Xenopus tropicalis: one gene and its partners. The main gene of each other region encodes a partner of the protein of the gene in region 2 in a complex. Links are inferred from orthologs where the notes say so. Each region holds a gene or a part of one and is shown on either strand. Other genes may lie near its edges.

Region 1 (4,803 bases), on a different chromosome or scaffold from region 2:
CCTGCTACGACTGCGGCTGCGTGACCGCGATCTTCCATAGCTGGGACTTCTTGGACCATCTACCTTAACACGAATGTAGGCAGTCTCTCCCTATCAATGAGAGAAGCTGGATTTGAACAAGCCAATCTTCAATATCTTATGAACTTAGGCACATCAAAGAACGATAAAAGTCAAGCAACTATAGTACATTATACAGAAAATTTAAAATTCCCATATCTTTTGGCACCTTATGTATTTGGCCAACATCACTATTGGCTTCAGAGGTCATGTAAAACAGATACTGCTAGTCACAATAGGTAGAGAAAAACTTAACACAAACTACTAAACAATTTAGTATTTACCTCATGAGACCTAAATTTAGTGTTATCCAGCTTCCGTACTGCATATGTCATATCTTCTTTCCTCACAAACTCCACAACTCCAGTACCATCTCGGAACACATCGGCATAACATACATCACCTGCTTCACGCATGTGATCCTTTAAATCCTGCCAGCTGCCACTTGGAGGCAACCCTAGAAATATAAAGTTATCAGAGTGTCAAATTTGGTATCAAAAGCAGTTTTATACATAATTAAAAGCATGCAAATGGTGGAAATTTAAAATGGTTTATGAACTTCTAGTGCCAAAATTCCAAGAGTAGGTATCTATGCTGGTTATACAGCAATGCATGGAGCATTAAAACAGTCCAAAGACAGCTGTATTGCTTAAATGAACACAGCATCCTGGGGAAAACCCATTGTTTTAATCTGAACCATGCTTCCAGCGAGACTCACAACAGCCCAATTCTGCTAAAATAACTCAGGGGTTTACATTTAGTACGTTTTAAAGGTAAATTTGTTGCAGTGCTTCATGTTTGAACTGAAGGTAACATAGCAACATGTGCAAGTTTTCATAGTCCAGATAGCATCCTGAGCAACCAGACAGGGCCATTTAATATCTTGTTTGAAGACAATACCCTATCCTTCCCTTTTCTTGTGACTGCATGGTTTGAAGTCCATTATGCAGGAGAATTGTGTGTGAACTGTAATACAATTATCTACCTTGCAAGGACCAAGCAGAGAGTTGCTTAAGTTCTGTTAAGCTGATGCAAGCCGTTAACTGAACTAAAGTTAAAGGGAGATATACTAGTAGTTCTGTTTGTATACATTAATGGTCAGTCATATCCACTGGTATAGAATGCATAATACTTTAGAATGTATGCATAACTGTGTCCAACTCATTATTGTATACATGTGAAATAACGCTGCTTGTAAAAACCTGATGGGCATTATTCCTCTAAAACTTTGCAACTGATGTTTTTACTTTGGTTTTTAAACCTGCCACCTGATAGAACTCTTACCTGACACAACCACTCTGTATTCTGAACGTCTTGATGGAGGTCCATATCTCCCTCGGGGAGCTCCTCCTCCGCCGCCACCACCACCACCGCCGCCGCCGCCTCCACCACCTCCTCCTCCGCCGCCGCCACCACCACCACCACCTCTGCCTCCAGCTCCTCGCCCACTTCTTGGAAACTCAACACGCAAGCGATAGCCATCATAATCATAGCCATCTCTACCATAGACAGCATCTTCTGCATCCCTAAGAGAAACCAAGGTAAGAATTGCTTTAGTTAAAGAATGCCAGGTTAAGAAGAGAATATTCACCTACAATGGTAATTACATATCCTGGAAAACTTTCTTGGCTGTAAATGAGAAAACTTTATTACAGTCATGTATAGAGCTACAAACGACACATGACCCCAGATTAATTCTGTGTAAGCAAGCCATTGTATCTTAACAGTCTTTTAGACATGAATGGCTGCCCCCATGACTACACAAAAGCTTTTGTATTTACATTTAAACAGTACATTTTCACCAATACTTTACATATGTGCATATAGTGCAGATGCTTAAACACCCATTATTCATTTTGTAGTGTTGCTATTGAATATCAATACTGCACTTCTCCAAGCAGCCTACATAAAAGGTGTTAGGAGTTCTGGTTGAATAAGTGCAGTGAGCCTAATTGCATGCTTTATAGCAGAGACATGAGGCAGCGGCTTTAAAGCAAACAGGTCAATAAATAACCCAAAGCACATTTGCTTGTTAGAATGCCTTCCCTTAACACACTAGTAAGCATGGTGCAGGGCTGCAGAACAAAGAGCGGAAGCGCTATTCGGTCCCACACACAGGGGGCGCTGTTGCCTAAAGGCGGTAATAAATAGGGATTTACACGTGCTAATGGCGATACACAATGAGTGTATAATACCTCATTCTGGCGCCACTCTGTAGGGATTATAGGCTAAATATATTAACTTGAATAATGATACAACGCACCGATGTTGAAACATAACCTGCACCATAATCAGGCCTAATTCCCCCCCTCACTGGCCTCCTCGACTATATATAAACTCTAATACAACAGCGGACGACATTTTATCAACTACAGCAGAAATAAAGTCGCAGTACCACCACCCCGCCCCCGGATACACTCAAGGTATATTGTAGTTATTCACCAGTTAACACTAGGCGAGCCCATTAGCACGATAGGCCAAAGCAAAAACATTTACACAGGGATTACCTTGGATCTTCGAATTCCACAAAGGCGAATGGCGGGCCCCCTCTGCGGTTCTTTAGGTCTATGTCCCGAATGGCCCCATACTTGTAGAAAACGTCCTCAATGTCCTTGGTGCGGATGTCTGGCGGCAGATTGCCAACATAGATACGGCAATCGTTGTTACCCGCCGGCCCCCTAATCACGCCGCCCCCTGACATATCCAGCTTGATGGATTTAAAGGGAGACGGATTGAGAAGAAAAAGAAATGGAGTTGGAAGCCAAACAGACCTTCGATGCGCGCTTCAGAGCTTGGACAAGATGGCGGAGTTACTTCCTCCCTTGCTTTAGCCGCGCAAGGATACTAAGAACTCGCAGTGGTGCGTCCTCAACAAAGGTAATCTTACGCCGAGACAATATAGAGCCTCTCGTTTCCACGTCTTCACGATGCAATGTTCCTAAAGCTATGTGCCAATTACGGCCCTAAGAAAGAATCTATTCACTGAGGTAATATTTATACTAGAAACCTGAGCTCAAGCTGCTTCTCTGTATGTGATAGGGGGGCTTTCTATACCCTGTGCTTGACGTCACGTCCGTCCAGGAAATGCGCGCCCATAGTGGGGGAGGGCAGTGGGTGTTGTTTGAAAAATGTTTTGTTACTCGTCGTGCGCCATGGCTGTTGTTAGGTGGTTTTGTATTATAGAACCATGGTCGGAGGCTGTTAGCTCTTTATCTGCAGTGACATTCATTATGAGTATGAAAATCATTAACTACAGGTGTGCTCTCAATGGTTTCCGCAATAAAACTTTTAAAAGGGTTTTACCCTTGTTTGTAGTCCTGAGTGCCAATTGCTTTTTTTGTTGTTACAGTGTATTTGGAGGGTGCCGATCCCTCTAGCAGTGTGCACCGTACAAAATTTTTTTTGGAGTGTTAGGGTGTGCGGATAAGGTCTCTGTGGTCCACTCTCAATGGTTTCCCCATTAAAGTAGCACTGCAATTCAATACTTTGTAACTGCTGTCAGGGTAATATTGCAAACAAGGTTGGGAAGACTTTGTCCTATTTATTATTATTAACATTTATTTATAAAGCGCCAACATATTCTGCAGCGCTGTACAATAAAAGGGTTTTATACATTGGACATACAGAGTAGCATATAAAGCAATCAATAACCGATACAAGAGGTGAAGAGGGCCCTGCCCAAAAGAGCTTACACTCTACAAATATTTATGTGTTGATAATAAATACATGCCTTACATTACACTCCTGTTTGGGCCTTGTGCATATTTGTTTGTTTTATTTTAGTCGAGCTTAGATTGGGCAGTGAAATTGTAAGCTCTATGGGGCAGGGACCTCCTTCCTACTCTCTCACACCACATGGCGCTCAATCTGTGTATTTATACTTCTTGTATTTATTATAACAGTTGTCCTCCCTGTGTGTAATTGTGTATATTGTAAGATTGTATAGCGCTGTGTACCCTTCTAACGCTTTATAAATAAAGTTATACGTACATTTATATATTGCCCAGCGCTTTACAGAGTAGGGAGTGCAACCCTGGGCTGAAGTGGAAAAGCACTTCAAAAAGTGCAAAAGTATTTAAGAAACTGATGCTGGAATGTAAAAAAAATCCATAACAGAAAAATACTCGAAAATGTATGCCTTTTAGCAAACAAAAATTTCTTTGAACAAATTTAATATAGCTTTTGAGAGGTCACTTCCGACAGTGGAACAAAGGGGGCAAGGGGTACTGTCATGAATAGGTGTGCAAGTTGATGCTTCCCCCCACATCGGTATTGTAGAGAGAGAAATAGCGCTCAGAATTTCATCTCTTTAAAGAAAAACTATACCCCCAGAATGAATACTTAACCAACAGATAGTTTATATTATGCAGAGTGACCTATTAAAGAATCTCGCCAAACTGGAATATATATATATATATATATATATATATATATATCAGTAAATATTGCCCTTTTAAATCCTTTTCCTTGATCCACAATTTAGTGATGGGCTGTGTGCGCCCTCAGAGATCACATGACCAGAAATAATGCAGCTCTAACTGTAACAGGAAGAAGGCAGAACTTTGTTCATTAATTGGCTGATGGGGCCCAGCATGCATATTTTCCTTGACTTGTTTGTGTGCACTGTGAATCCTATGATCACAGGAGGCGGCCCTTAATTCTTAAAATGGCAACTTTCTATTTAGGAGTACCCAATAGCACATACTACTATAAAGTATATTTTTATAAAAATCGTTTATTTAGATG
Region 2 (4,112 bases):
ATGACCTTCTTTTATGATTTTACTACTGCAGTTGTATTCTCACTGTACTTTATCATCTGTATTTAAGAAGCATTTTGCCTAGTTAGCAAGCATTAAACTGTGGAGCAATGTAAAAATGTAAAAAATGTAACATGTTATCCAGAATGCTCAGGACCTGGAGTTTTCCGGATAAGGGATCTTTCCTTAATTTGGATCCCCATACCTTAAGTCTACACAAATTAATTTAAAGGTTAATTAAAGCCAATAGAATCTTTTTTTTTTTTTTTTTATTTTAGTTTGAATCAAGTACAAGGTACTGTTTTATTTTTACAGAGAAACTAAAATAATTTTAAATAATTTGTTTTAAATGGACTGTATGGGAGATGAGCTTCCCCTTAGTTGGAGCTTTCTGGATAATTGGTTTCCAGATAATGGATCCCCTACCTGTATATGTGAATATACATAGACTGGGAAGACCAAAGTTAAACCCTGCTGCCTTGGTTTTAAAGCTTCATGGAAATCTCCACATAATCATTCTGCTGAGCCAGCCATTTGGAAGTGCTTAGTGCACATTCCTTTCATGACAGCTGACTAGAGTTTCTTGCAGTCTGCACTGCGCTGTTAGTGTGTGTCAGTAAATGCTGTGGTTAAATGGGTTAAAATGTGGTTAAAAATACTAATGCTCTTTCTGGAAATGAATGGTCAGCTTAAACTGCTTTGATGTGTAATGACTATGTATGTATATAGACCGTTATAGAGATCTGATGCAGTAGGTCAGGCAGACTGTTCATGACCATGCATGTTCTAGTGTAAACTGTACAAACGCTTAACCTAATAAATGCATTTGAATTTCTTGACATTGCAACCTGGATCTGCTACCTTCTGTGAAATCATCTAGATTTTCTGCCTCCAGCCAAGCAGGCTGATTACTTGTTGTACTTCCTTTTGTGCACTACCCTCAAACTCTTTGTGTTTTTACAATTTATGTGGCTAATTGCTCTTTGTTTTTATCAGGGTGCTGAATTATTGTCGGATTTTTACTGAACTATGTGAAACCTTCTTAGAGAAGATTGTGACAACACCATGTCGTGATCTGGGAGACTTGAGGACCCTAGAGCTTCTCCTGATTTGTGCGGGACACCCTCAGTATGAGGTGCATTGGTTTTTTTACTTGGAACAAAGAATTCTATTAATATAAAGTTGGTCATCAGGCCTTACTTGAAATAATATGAAGTTTTTTGGACATGCAAACCCAAAGACTGCACCAATAATTTTTAGTCTTTTTTGTCCCCAATTATCTCTTATTATTCTTTGTACTAAGTATGCCAAAGTAGGCAGAACATGGGATCATTTGAAAGAAAGAGAATTTAAATAGAAGTCCAGGAATGCCAGGCTAGTGTTTAAATTGCCACCTTTTAGGTTTAAAAGGAGCGTCCCTGAATCCTTTTTTTCTTTTAAGAATGTGTAGATACAACCGCTTCAGGCATATACGTTGAGGACAAATGAAGGGCTATGGCCAAGGTGCACCCCAGTCTGGTATTAGACTAGGGGTCTGACAGATGTAAGAAAAAAAAAGACAGATAGGTCTGTCTTTTGTTAAGGGCAACCTGTAAAGCTACTTTCTGAGTTTTATACATGGCAGGAAGCACGGTTACCACATGGTCCTGTTTCCCCTGAAATTAAATTGAGAGAGACTTGGTTACATTATTACCTCTCCACTTTCTCCTTGTTTCATTCTAACCACTTTTTGTACTATACTTATTACAGACCTTTCTAGCATAAACTAATTGTACAGTATGTACAAACATAATTTACACCTTTACTCCATCTTTTTTTCACAGGTAGTTGAAATCTCCTTCAATTTTTGGTATAGACTGGGAGAGCACTTGTACAAAATGACTGATGCTGTCATACACGGTATCTTCAAACCCTTTATTCAGAGGCTTCTCCATGCTTTGGCAAGACACTGCCAGCTTGAACCTGACCATGTGAGTTCTGTACTTATCCTTCTGCTCTCTATGAAGTAATGGGGCTTTATAGAATGATTTTCCACATTAAATAATGGAAAGCTAAGTCATTTTATGTTTTAACTGTGCAAATAATGTTCATACAGGGGCTTTGTAAACTTCCCAGTTCCTGCTGATGTAGTTATGAGTAACTCAAATTGCTTTTGTCTCCTTCCCCTTTATCTATTACTTCTTTTATGAAGTCCACACTTTTTTTTGCTGTCTTACTTAAATTGTAAGTGATTTTAACTTTTTATTTTTCCTACTTAACAACAGGAGGGTGTCCCTGAGGAAACAGATGACTTTGGCGAATTCCGTTTGCGAGTATCTGACTTGGTTAAAGATTTAATCTATCTGGTGGGCTCCATGGAATGTTTCTCCCAGGTTTGTGTTCCCTAACTAACCTACTATTACTAATTTTCTCTTGGAGGGGTGGAGTGATGGGTAGTTTTAAATTAAAAAATATTATGACACAGAAATGAATGCCAGCTTTGAAAAAATTAAGATCTATACTGGTCTGCATAGCAGCTCCTAAGTGGGGATATTGAAAATGCACAATGTAGCTTCCAGCAAAACACTTCAATATATGTATTATTTCTATGAGCTCTAATGGGTTTACCTTTGGAAGGTGCTTATATTTTAGGCAATGCCATATGGGGCTAATTGTCTGATTCTTAGCAGAAGGCTGATGCTAGTGGAGGTGCTGCTTCCCGGCCTACATTTATCCACACTTTTATCGCACTGCATCTTGTGGACAGCTGCACCAGAGTACAACAGAAGGGATATCTGGGAGGGTTTACTTCGACTTCTTAATACTACTGTTGTCTTAATACAAATCAAATAAGACAAGTTTGGGAGATTTTCAATGGCCCTTTAATAGTCCATATAGTCATAAATAGTCATTATGCCAGTTACCGATATTGCTTAAGCATTTGAAAGTACTTCTGAACAGTGAATTAGATCTGTGCTTGTGGCTTTTGCCTGATGGTTCCCTGTCTCTCCTCGCAGCTCTATTCTACTCTAAAAGATGGAAATCCACCTTGGGAAGTGACAGAAGCTGTGCTGTTTATTATGGCAGCCATTGCTAAGAGTATTGATCCGTAAGTGGCATTTCTATCCACAGTGTGTTCCAACTGAGGACATGCAATTTCTATGCACTAGACAGTCCTTTTCTCTAAGTTTGTGTGACCTGTCACGTAACCGCTGAACTATTGCTGTTCATAGATGTGCCCCTACATAATCACCTTATTTACAGTTGACCAGAGCAGCTCTATCAGGATAGATTTATGACAAACTGACTTGTTGAAACCGTTGCATCCTATGATGTTGAAAGCCACTGAGATCATCAGTACTGCCTATTCTTTTGCCACTGTATGTTGCTGGGTGTGGCTTATATAGCCAGTTTCTCTAATTAGATGGAGTGTTGGGATACTTTAAACTCCCTTTCTTTGAACGTAAAATAAAAATTCATCGATTTGTTAAGGATTTTTATACTCTGTGTCAGTTCCATATTTCACAAATCCACCCCCTTGCTTTTATTTGTATTGTTCCCTGCATGTCTTTAACTCCTTTCTCCACCTTACAACTTGGGCCCTTCTCTTTCATTTCCAAAAGTGTTTTCTTGTATTAGAATTTACCATTATTGTAATTTAGTTTGCACCTGTAACAGTAAAGTCATTTTTTTATAACAGTTGATACAAGAAAAATTCAATGACAGTAAACCACTTTATGATTTATTAAAGTGGTTTATTGTAATTGAATTATTTTTGTATCAATTGGTTTAAAAAAGATTGTTTTTTTTATTTTTGGGTTTATGTATTTTAACTGGCTTAAAGGAAAAGTAACACTAAAAATTTTCAAGTAAAAAATCTACCCTGCCCCAATAATTGCCCTATCCTGCACACCATTTATTATTTTGAATGCTTTATTAGAAAATACCTGCTAAAACTTGGCTTCCAGTCATTTGAAATAGGGCGATGCAGGGAAGAATCCACTATGCGACGATCGATTGATCTATCCTAGCCTTTCTTCTGTATAGGATTCTTCCCTGCATCGCCGTATCACCCTATTTCAAATGACCAGAAGCCAAGTTTTAGCAGGTATTTTCTAATAAAGCATTCAAAATAA
Region 3 (4,756 bases), about 29 Mb from region 2:
AATAAATGCAGACAGCATATTTTTAGTGGTGGTTGTTTTCTTGTGCAGTGGTCAAAACACCTTGTGCAGCATGAAATCAACATAAACTACACAATAGGAGCAGAAAAATGTTATTGTTATGCCTTTACTTACCCATGTTAGATTTCCAATGTAGAGTGCTATTCGTTTACCAGTATAGGTATACACAATATTAGGAACAGATCCTTTCACTACATCATCTCCAACAGAAGTTGCTAGATTATCCATATAGTCGCGGTCCTCAGGAGCATCTCCATTGTTTGCAGATGGTGAGATGACATCCTCATAGAGTTCAATTTGCTCATGTGCACCATATTCTGCTTCCTTTAATACAAACAAAAAATATGAATGTTCATACCTCTTCAAGCAGCTGCCTGTTGCCTGGATCAGGGCCTTAATTATTATTATTAATTTACAAATTTTAACATATTGATGCATTCTCCACTTTATTATACATGTCAATTTTTAAAGAATACATTGTTCACCTAATGATTCTTTCAAAGGCAAATCAATTACTGGTTTTAGATAAATATGTATGGACTAGGAATGCACTTACAAGCAAAGATGTTTTGCTGTGTTGTTCAGATAAACACAACAATTCTTAATGGAACATTTGGTTTTTTGCCTGAAAAAAAGGACATTGGCAATGCGAGTGATCTCCATAATTTGCACCTTTGGATATTTGTGACTATAGCAATGGGGACAAAAACATAAAATCCCCCCTCAACAACTAAAGTGTAAAGGAAACTTTGTTGTATAATAATCGGCACATGCATGGTGGGAGACACAGCAACCAATATCAGTAAATGCCTTAAGATATTGGTTGCCTTGTCAATCGCGCAGGACTGAAAATTTTGATTGGGTGCCTTATCATCGGAACTTTAAAGGGACAGTAACACCAAAAAATGAAAGTGTATAAAAGTAATTACTATATAATGTAATGCTGTTCAATCAGCCATTAACCGTTCAGGGCTGAAACAGCAAATAAGGCTGCCGATTCAGCCCTGAAGGCAGATTTTGCTCAGGCGCCTTCTATGGCGCTCGATCAAAATCTTTTAACCTGGCCGATCGGCGCGTCGACCAATATCAGCAGCCTCCTGCGATATCGGTCGACTCGCTGACTTACCATACACGCACCGAATATCGTACAAAACGAGGTTTCGTACGATATTATCGGTGCATGTATGGCCAGCTTTAGAGGCTACCAGATTAGCCATTTACTGCCCATATTTGGCACCCCCAGAAACCTTTTTATGCTTGTGTTGCTCCCTGACATTTTACATTTGAATGTGGCTCACGGGTAAAAAAGGTTGGGGACCCCTGTTCTACAGCATTTAAAATATTTTCTGATGCTTTGACAGTCACAAGAGGCAGTTCCATGTGTAACACAGTTCTGTATATGCCTCTGCACTAACACCCCAACATTGCAAAAATCCAAGGAGGTTTGGAAGTCTACAAAGATAAGAAAACAACAGCTACATTATTTCTGACAGCTTATTTTACAAGCATCTGAATATTGTTTCAGTCCTCAACCAAAAAAAAGGGGAACACATTTTAATTTAAGAAATTGATATTTGATTATTTCCTCCACCAGCCCCCCCCCCCTGTATAACAAGAATCTTTCAATACCTTGCTGCTCTAAAAAAGAAACAAATGTTGATTTTATCCCTGTGGTACAGAAAATGTGTTTTAATGAATAATATAGAACATAACTAGGGTAAATTTCCATGAAAAATAAAAGCATTAGATCTAATATAAATAGTAATGGATTTGCCAATACTTTTTTGTGCTTTAAATAGTCAATTAGCTGAAATTCACTTCTAATTTAAATATGGAGAAAGTCTGACGTATATCAGCAATGGGGCCACTACTGCCTATACCAGATATTGACATCCTGCATTCATTTGCTAATCTAGAGATGGTGTATTTATAGCTGAAGGATATTAAAGATACCAGTATAAACCTGTTATTAAAGGTTGAACAAACCACATTTTCAGTTTTTTTTCCCTTCAACCATTGGCATTTAATTTTTTATCCATTATGTGAAACTGCAACTGTATAGTTCTACATTTACAAGTAAATGATTGCTGTGCTGTCTCTCTCAATTCAAGACAGATAGGAAAAGTACACCGTTTTATGATATTAGAAAAGTGTACATTTTTCTATAAAGAATAGTTTGGAAAATGACAGCAGATGCATTTTATTACATTATGTATGGTACCTATTTTCTTGTACCCCCCAAAATAAAGACAGTGGTACCTAGCAGCTGCCGGCGAGATGCTCCAGGGCCCCATGTATGTTACAGCCTATTATATTCTCTATTTCGACCAATGGATAAGTAGATTTATTTGGGGGGGGGGGGGGAAGCAATTATGATAACAGTTGTGAAGGTTTTTCATTAGTCTTTCCAAACAACCCTAGTAGCTTAGAACAATTTTTTAAAATAGAGTGGTATTTGAAGGGGTGAACAATTGTTGTAGTCCGTAAAAGCTCGTCTTCCCACAGTCTCTAAGAAAAAGAAAATCCCAACAACTACTGTTTTAGTCTAGAGCCCCCGTAACCCACACATAACTAATCCAGCAGGGCTCTGGGCAATGGCACTAGACTGAAGTTCCGTGGAACTCAAGGCCCCGGCACACGCGGCCTACACAAAGAAAGTGCAGAAGGCTGTGTGGCCGGGTTCGGCTTGCCCGCCTCTGTACAAATTTTGCGAATCTCCAGGGTAAAAGAAATGCTTTAAAGACTTGATAGCATACATAGGCCTACAAATAATAACAAAACAAACAGGCGCTTCTTTTATCTGCGAGAAGTCGGGAGGCGGCCCAAGCACACACAGACGACTCGCACCAGCATGACAACCACTTGCTGCACCCATATTTCCCACTCGCGATACCTGATTAAATTCCTCGCCCACATCTGCGTAGATATCGATATGATCCACTCCGTCCGCCATCTTCCGCCTGGAGCGGCAGCGCTAGGCAGTCACGGAGGCGGTGCGAGCTGGGAGGAGTGGGTCGGGAGGGGGAAGGCGGGAACGGGCGCGTCACTTCCTCTACTGGATACTGAACCAGCTAGTTGCGCGCGTTTTTTTTCACATAGTATAATTTGTATTGTACAAACTCGTTGGAACGCGAACAATGAGCAGCAGCATTAGAAAGATATGGCTGAAGGTGAATAGAAACTTGCCCCAAGTCAAATTCATATTCTCGTCAGAACACCGTGTTATGAAGATATATGAAAAACATTTTTTAAAGGTTTTTATTATTTTCTTTACAAACAGAAACATAAAACCAGCACAATAGCATATACAATAATTAGTGCTATGACCATGGAGAAAGTATACAGTAGCAGGGTCAGCTAGATACAGTCGGTGTGGCCTAAGTAGTTTGGATAAGGCCTGTGATTTGGGGGAGACCTTTGGTGTAAAAGTCTCAGGGTTATACTGTGGGACTCGCTTCTGGTTGAGCTTCTTACAGTTTTTGAGAGGATTGTCTAGTTCAAAAGGTCTCTCTAGAAATCCAGTTGCATCTAAGTGATGCCATAACCTTGCTTTGGTGTCATAATCCCACTGACATAATTGTGCCCACTTCTGATGTCATCATGCCCATGTCAAACATCACTGCCCCGCCCCCTTTGTTGAGGTTTAGCCTCTGACAAAGGTGGCAACCTTAGTAGGCATTGTCTGTATAGACGCCATATTCTCTAGAATTTGCTAGGGCAACCCCTGGCAAGGTATGTTAGTTTAATAAGTGGGAGTCTAGTGTTAACAAGTTGTTTCCATTGCTGGAGGTCAGGGGGGTGGGGGCTCATCCATTTCATTGCCAACTTTAAAACAAATGGACAGATACAGCAAATGGTGTCTATACAGACAATGCCTACTAAGGTTGCCACCTTTGTCAGAGGCTAAACTGCAACAAAGGGGGTGGGGCAGTGATGTTGGACATGGGCATGATGACATCAGAAGTGGGCAAAATTATGTCAGTGGGATTATGACACCAAAGCAAGGTTATGGCATCACTTAGATGCAATTGGATTTCTAGAAAGACCTTTTGAACTAGACAGCCCTCTCAAAAACTGTTCAAAACCACATGGAAGGCAACCCTAACTATATTCTGCCCAATGAGTAAATTCAATCCTAATAATAAAATACTAATTCATTTATTTGTTTGTTTCTGTAATAATAAATTAAAAGAGAAGAAAAGGTAAAAACTAAGTAAGCTTTATCAGGTAGGTCTATGTAAATACAGCCATAAGCACTCACGGAAACGCTGCACTGAGTCCTCTATAAAAAGATACAGGATTTCTTGTCTCTTTGATTTCCTGTGCCACAGACACGCAGCTCTCTCCTCTCTCCCCTCTCCTGCTCCCCCCTCCCTCAAGAATGCTAAGAACTCCCTCCCCCCCTTAGGAATGTGTGATCTGAGCCAATCAGCAGAAAGCTTCCTCATAGTCTTACACACTGCATATGTACACCGGTCTTGGTCTTGGTGCAGGAGCGAGGCATTATGGGAATCTTCTTTGTTTAAATTTAAAATGCTGCTATTCTTATACTATCCGTACAAGTGTCCCCTTGTACAGTTAAAAACCGTGGGATTAATATTCAAGATTAGAAAAAGTGAAAGGAGCCACCAACAGCCAATCAGATGTGTCCGAATGTGTTTTTTCGTAATGATCGTTATTTTTGCAACAATTTTTTTTGCAACAAATTCGTATGGTCACGTCGAGTACGAAAGTTTCG
Region 4 (4,888 bases), on a different chromosome or scaffold from region 2:
AAAAATACAGCAGCTTAAAGTTCTTTAAACAATGCTACAGGAAGACAGGCCTAGCAGTCTGCTACTAATACAGGTGCTTCTCTGCCCATCAACCAACAGCACCCATCCGCTTAGGAAGTTACTTCCTAGCACTACTTAACCAGAAGGGGGAGCAGCCCCACCTGATCAGCTTGAATGGAACAGCATAGTAGGATAGGAATATCCTTGCAGAACACAGTAACTTTAAGAATGAGATTAGGTGTCCAAAGATAAAGCCTTTGAAACACAGCTGTCCCACTTATTAGAGAAGCTGTCAGGCTAACTAGGTCTATTAAAAAAAAAAGTGAACACAAGTAGATATACTACACAAACGATTCGGCGAAGCTCCAAAAATCTTTATAAATACAGCCATTGGAAGGACGATCTTGAGTCAGGAATGGATTTTACTCTTGTGTAGCTGAGGACAAGAAGCAGGCACAGTTGTAAAGGCACAGATTCCAGCATCACCTCCCCTAAACTGGTACTACATACCCTTCCCAGCTATGTCTACCCAACACTTATTGCCTGTAGCCAGGACAGAACCAACACATGCATTAGAGGCAAATTGAGAAATTGAGAAGTTAAGAGCCATCACTGGATGGAACACGAAGATCACAACTGACGTACCACCCTTTCCACCCTCCTCTCTAGTAACTTCCCCACATACTTACTATAGCTGTCATAACTATCCCTGTAGGATCCTCCGGAACGATCACCATAGCTTCCATGACTCCTGCCACAAGAGAGACACAGGCCATTGTCAGGAGAACAAATATCAAAATAGAATGAAGTCTTACAGAGCATTCACAAAACTTACCTGCCATAGTAATCCCTGGATCCACTGCTTTGGTAACCTCCACTTCTGTTTTCAAAGCGGCTGCTTCCACCATATCCTCTGTCTCCACCACCACCTGCACAAAAAAAGTTCTTGTGTTTTATAAAACTACACGAATGTTAACCTGTCCCAACTCTAGTGCAGGAAAGAGATAAAAGCCCAGGTTATAGGGCATGTTAACCTAACCAAAAATAACAAATTATGGTTCTCTATCAGGCAATAATGCCTTTTATGAGGGTTGACATACCCTTTAAAAGCCGCTACAAAAAGTATCCTTATAGTTAATTCAAATGGGTAGGGACGGGAATGTCCGTCTGCAATTTGTCTACCGGGAAAGGTTAACCAATATAGTCATGATTCTTATGGTATACCTTATTTCTAAATTACTGTCTACATAGCAAATGAACCACCATCTAAAATTCACTCAAGGAAAAATAAAAGTTGTACTATTAGTGTGTAGGCAGCCATCTCTGTGCATTGTGCCCGATTCTGAGCTTTCAGGAGCCAGCACTACACTAGAGCTGCTTTCAAGTAACCTGTTTCCCCTACTCCCATGTAACTAGTGCAAAGCTAGACTTTCTTCTTATTAATTGTTATTCTGAGATCTACTGGGAGCTAACTCTTCCCTTTGTATTATGGAAAAGTTTACCAGAACATTTATATTCCAAGTCTATATTGCAATGTCACTAAAGTATGTATACCAACCTCGGCCTCTGCCTCCACGGAAGAACCCTCTGCCTCCAGAAGAGCCACCTCTGTAACCACCTCTCCTATCATTGGAGGACTTGCCAGCCTGATCAACACGGATTTGACGGCCATCTACAGACTATATATAAAAAAAAAGAATTTAAAAAAGTTATAAAGAAGCCATATTGTCAGATTTAATGTTTAATGGACATTTTTAGCCATTTAAGTCAGTGTACTGTTCACTGAATTACACTTGTCTTTGTGCTTTGTTTAGTCATGATTTATAACTATACACCTTTTTAGAACATGTTATTCTAAGCCAAAACAGTAATTGAAATTAATAAGTAAATTAAAGGGCCTTCACAGTTCAAGAAAGGCAGTTTACCTAGAGGTTGCAAAATGCAAGGCGGTTACCTAGTGCCTTCATAGCATTATTAATTAATACAGTGAGCATCTAGTGGTAGAATGCAAATACCAAGGACAATATGCCACTACAAAGTGTGTTACATATCCCAGCAATAAACACCAACCACCTGGCAGTTATAAACTAAAGACAGTGAATCAGATTTGCTCTTTACACCTAAAAGGATTTGTTACTATGTGTGCATTTACCTTCCCATTCATTGCCATCATAGCATCCTTGGCATCTTCAGGATTCTCAAATGTGACAAAGCCAAAGCCTCTGGATCTCTTGCTTTCCCGATCCTTCACCACAACCACTGAAAATACACATTGCTTTAGAAGGAGGAAGAAAAAAAAAAAAAAGAAAAAAAAACTGCTTAAGAACTAATTTTAAAAAATAAAAAAAGGCCCACACATACCTTCAGCAACCTGTCCATATTTGCTAAACACTTGCTCCAAGCTTTCCTCTGTGGTTTCAAAATTCAGACCACCGACAAAGAGTTTTCCTTCATCACAAGACATGGTGAGACCTAATAAAGAAAGACGACAAAGCCACATGAAGCGCTTTCCAATATGGCCGCCACCACGTGGTAGAGATCCGAGCCTTGCCGCAGTAGCACAATAGAAGGCGGGAATTCAGCCCATGGATGACGTCACTTACGGTAACGTGTGAGGGATTTATTTCGCCATCTACACGCACAATCGCTAGGATTTTTACATCGACTCTTCAGTCGACAGTTTCATTGTTTTATTAAACAAAAAAAAAAACTACGCGCCAAATAATGAATTGTGCTCATATACAGCTCTTCGACTAGCACTACGAAGAAAGTAAGAGCCTTCCAATAAATTAAATAAGAACCTTCCAATAAATTAATTTAAGCCACATGTAGATTCGTGCCAGTTTTGCCGCGAAGGCGCGAGTATGACACGGTATTTGAGGCGTTGTAGAACGAGGAGTTTTAAACTACTAAATGTGACCACGTATACAGAATACCTACAATGTATTGGGCAACAATTGACACATGAGCTAACCTCCACAATTCACACGCTGAAACCAGAAGAAAAAGGAAAAACCCCACTTACGTTCTATGATCTTCGGACGATACAACACAAGTTGGAAGCCGAATGCGAAGTGCGCAATTCACGCCGGAACTTGGTCATTTATACCAGGAATAACCCCGCCCACATCATGAATAATTTATTTAGTTCCAGTTCGGGCGACACCATTTGGTTGATAGCGCGATATTGAAAAAAGATCATTCAGAGCAATGCGGATGAATAAAGAGTTCACTATTTGTATTGCAGTGGTTAGTTAAAAACTATTACCACATGATGTGTTTATTTTTGTTCATTTTCTTAAACTATAACCATAGTGTACAATAATTTCATACCAATGGACGCTTCTCAGAGGAGGAGTCATATTAGAATTGACGATCCAGTCGCCTGACCGCTTCTTGGGATTTATTTGCTGGTATTGGCTGAATATTGTCGCTGGGAGGATCTCTTTGTTACTGCGTTGCGCGTTTGAACAAAGAACAAGGAGAGAGCTTAGGCGCCATTTTAGGGCTGGGTGGCACATGTTAAAACTCGGCTATGAATCGTGGGTTTTTTTTGTTTAAAATGGTGTTCGGATATCCTAATTAATGATATTATTTTAACGCTATACCGGGTAACATTAATGTTTAGTTATTATTCGAAACCAATCTTGACATTTTCTTAAAGCGTTTAGGAGTGGCGTTTGGCAATTCCAATGCCGAGCTAATGGCGCCGGAATCAAAGGCGCCGGAGGTTCAGAAAAGGGTTGCTGGAAAGTTGATTGTTACTGTATGCATTACCCTGTTGCAAACGGTGCTCCGTTCTTTATACCTATAACAGAACGAATGGCGTCTTTACGAATAGTTTTTATGTTTAATTGCAAGAACATAAGTTAAAGGTGTTTATAAAGGAAAAAAAATAGCAATCCCGGTGCTCGACTTTCATCAAAATGCCTGTTAGATTTCGTTTTGCAAATCTCCCTTCCACCCCTGCTTTCCTACAGTACATTCTGATAAAAAAAGAGGTGATAATTATCGTTATTGAACGTATTATGGTTATGCTTAAAATACTTATATTTAACATCGTTTTAATAGGTGAGGATATATCTAATCCCAAACTTGGGGTATGCAGCCTTTTAAAGTTATTGTGCATGTAAACTTTTATAAACCCTATGTATATACTACTATCATTGATTATTACGCACTATATTTTTCAAGTATTGCACTACTACTGTTTTATAATCTTGTACACAAAGTTTTCAGTCACAGAGCCACCCTGCCCCCAAACGTGGTAATAAAAAGATTAAACCCAGTTTTCACTGGTTTAAATATATTCCTTCCTCATATGCCCCTGTCACTATTGTGGTCTTTGTTGCTTCCAGGTCAGGGACAGAAGAAACATTTTTACACACACACACACACATACAATTATAAAGTGCAGCTACACTTTCATGACATTAAACTGGCAACATATAAAATATTTTCTGTGTAGTGTGATTTGCTTGCTACTTAGTGATTTGGCTTAACAAATGGTAAAATTGCATCAGGCTAAAACAGAAAATTGGTTCAATGGATGATCCCTAAACTGTGGATGTATAGGGGCAAAGTCTGATTTGGGACTACATGTTCTCACAGCTCTTAAAAATCTGGGCAATAGTCCCAAAGATTTAGGAGGTTAAATACTCATATATTGCCAAACATGTGGCCAAATATCACAACGTATTCACATTTTGTATACCCAACCTGTACAAAGCACAAATACCTGTCAAAAACAATTGTAAGAGCCTTGTTTATTAAGAAATTAATATAAAGTTCTATGTAACTTGTAGGAAGTATAGCAATAAAATTATGATGATGATGAATTTTCAGTCTTAGAGTGAATTTTTACTGTGTATCCAGTATGCAGTTATTT

Evidence for each region.
Region 1: the proteins of tnpo3 (region 2) and srsf1 are in contact, whole or in part, in a crystal structure (PDB 4C0O), measured with the Homo sapiens proteins. The link is inferred for Xenopus tropicalis from reciprocal best matches to the Homo sapiens genes TNPO3 and SRSF1. Residues at the interface, in NP_036602.1 of Homo sapiens: His155, Arg157, Arg160, Thr167, Tyr254, Ile256, Glu257, Glu304, Glu340, Ile341, Phe343, Asn344, Tyr347, Arg348, Glu351, His352, Lys355, Thr356, Arg620, Asn656, Glu660, Arg661, Arg664, Arg667, Phe668, Arg671, Ser698, Cys699, Tyr702, Ile706; in NP_008855.1 of Homo sapiens: Ser116, Arg117, Arg118, Ser133, Trp134, Gln135, Lys138, Asp139, Arg142, Glu143, Gly145, Asp146, Cys148, Tyr149, Ala150, Asp151, Val152, Tyr153, Arg154, Val172, Arg173, Asp176, Asn177, Arg181, His183, Tyr189, Ile190, Arg191, Arg198, Pro200.
Region 3: the proteins of tnpo3 (region 2) and cpsf6 are in contact, whole or in part, in a crystal structure (PDB 6GX9), measured with the Homo sapiens proteins. The link is inferred for Xenopus tropicalis from reciprocal best matches to the Homo sapiens genes TNPO3 and CPSF6. Residues at the interface, in NP_036602.1 of Homo sapiens: Arg620, Asn656, Arg657, Glu660, Arg661, Arg664, Arg667, Phe668, Arg671, Ser698, Cys699, Tyr702, Ile706, Asp709, Asp747, Asp750, Asp751, Arg754, Arg758, Gln761, Cys793, Arg797; in NP_008938.2 of Homo sapiens: Tyr521, Arg522, Glu523, Arg524, Ser525, Glu527, Arg528.
Region 4: the proteins of tnpo3 (region 2) and cirbp are in contact, whole or in part, in a crystal structure (PDB 8CMK), measured with the Homo sapiens proteins. The link is inferred for Xenopus tropicalis from reciprocal best matches to the Homo sapiens genes TNPO3 and CIRBP. Residues at the interface, in NP_036602.1 of Homo sapiens: Arg620, Glu660, Arg661, Cys663, Arg664, Arg667, Phe668, Arg671, Ser698, Cys699, Tyr702, Ser705, Ile706, Asp709, Glu710, Asp747, Asp750, Asp751, Arg754, Arg758; in NP_001271.1 of Homo sapiens: Tyr160, Arg161, Ser163, Tyr164, Asp165, Ser166, Tyr167, Ala168.

Annotation. Positions count from the first base shown.
Region 1 is NC_030678.2:76,103,292-76,108,094, reverse strand, and holds the start of srsf1 (serine/arginine-rich splicing factor 1), read right to left. Parts: upstream 3,013-4,803; 5' UTR 2,759-3,012; coding exon 2,565-2,758; intron 1,584-2,564; coding exon 1,342-1,583; intron 515-1,341; coding exon 342-514; intron 91-341; coding exon 1-90. UniProt on the Homo sapiens protein: Plays a role in preventing exon skipping, ensuring the accuracy of splicing and regulating alternative splicing.
Region 2 is NC_030679.2:87,748,819-87,752,930, reverse strand, and holds part of tnpo3 (transportin-3), read left to right. Parts: intron 1-993; coding exon 994-1,132; intron 1,133-1,820; coding exon 1,821-1,967; intron 1,968-2,261; coding exon 2,262-2,369; intron 2,370-2,993; coding exon 2,994-3,085; intron 3,086-4,112. UniProt on the Homo sapiens protein: Importin, which transports target proteins into the nucleus. Specifically mediates the nuclear import of splicing factor serine/arginine (SR) proteins, such as RBM4, SFRS1 and SFRS2, by recognizing phosphorylated SR domains.
Region 3 is NC_030679.2:58,921,699-58,926,454, forward strand, and holds the start of cpsf6 (cleavage and polyadenylation specificity factor subunit 6), read right to left. Parts: upstream 3,090-4,756; 5' UTR 2,972-3,089; coding exon 2,912-2,971; intron 343-2,911; coding exon 133-342; intron 1-132. UniProt on the Homo sapiens protein: Component of the cleavage factor Im (CFIm) complex that functions as an activator of the pre-mRNA 3'-end cleavage and polyadenylation processing required for the maturation of pre-mRNA into functional mRNAs.
Region 4 is NC_030677.2:99,957,334-99,962,221, forward strand, and holds the start of cirbp (cold-inducible RNA-binding protein), read right to left. Parts: upstream 3,081-4,888; 5' UTR 3,026-3,080; intron 2,473-3,025; 5' UTR 2,465-2,472; coding exon 2,362-2,464; intron 2,260-2,361; coding exon 2,153-2,259; intron 1,680-2,152; coding exon 1,559-1,679; intron 930-1,558; coding exon 836-929; intron 752-835; coding exon 690-751; intron 437-689; coding exon 423-436; 3' UTR 1-422. UniProt on the Homo sapiens protein: Cold-inducible mRNA binding protein that plays a protective role in the genotoxic stress response by stabilizing transcripts of genes involved in cell survival. Acts as a translational activator.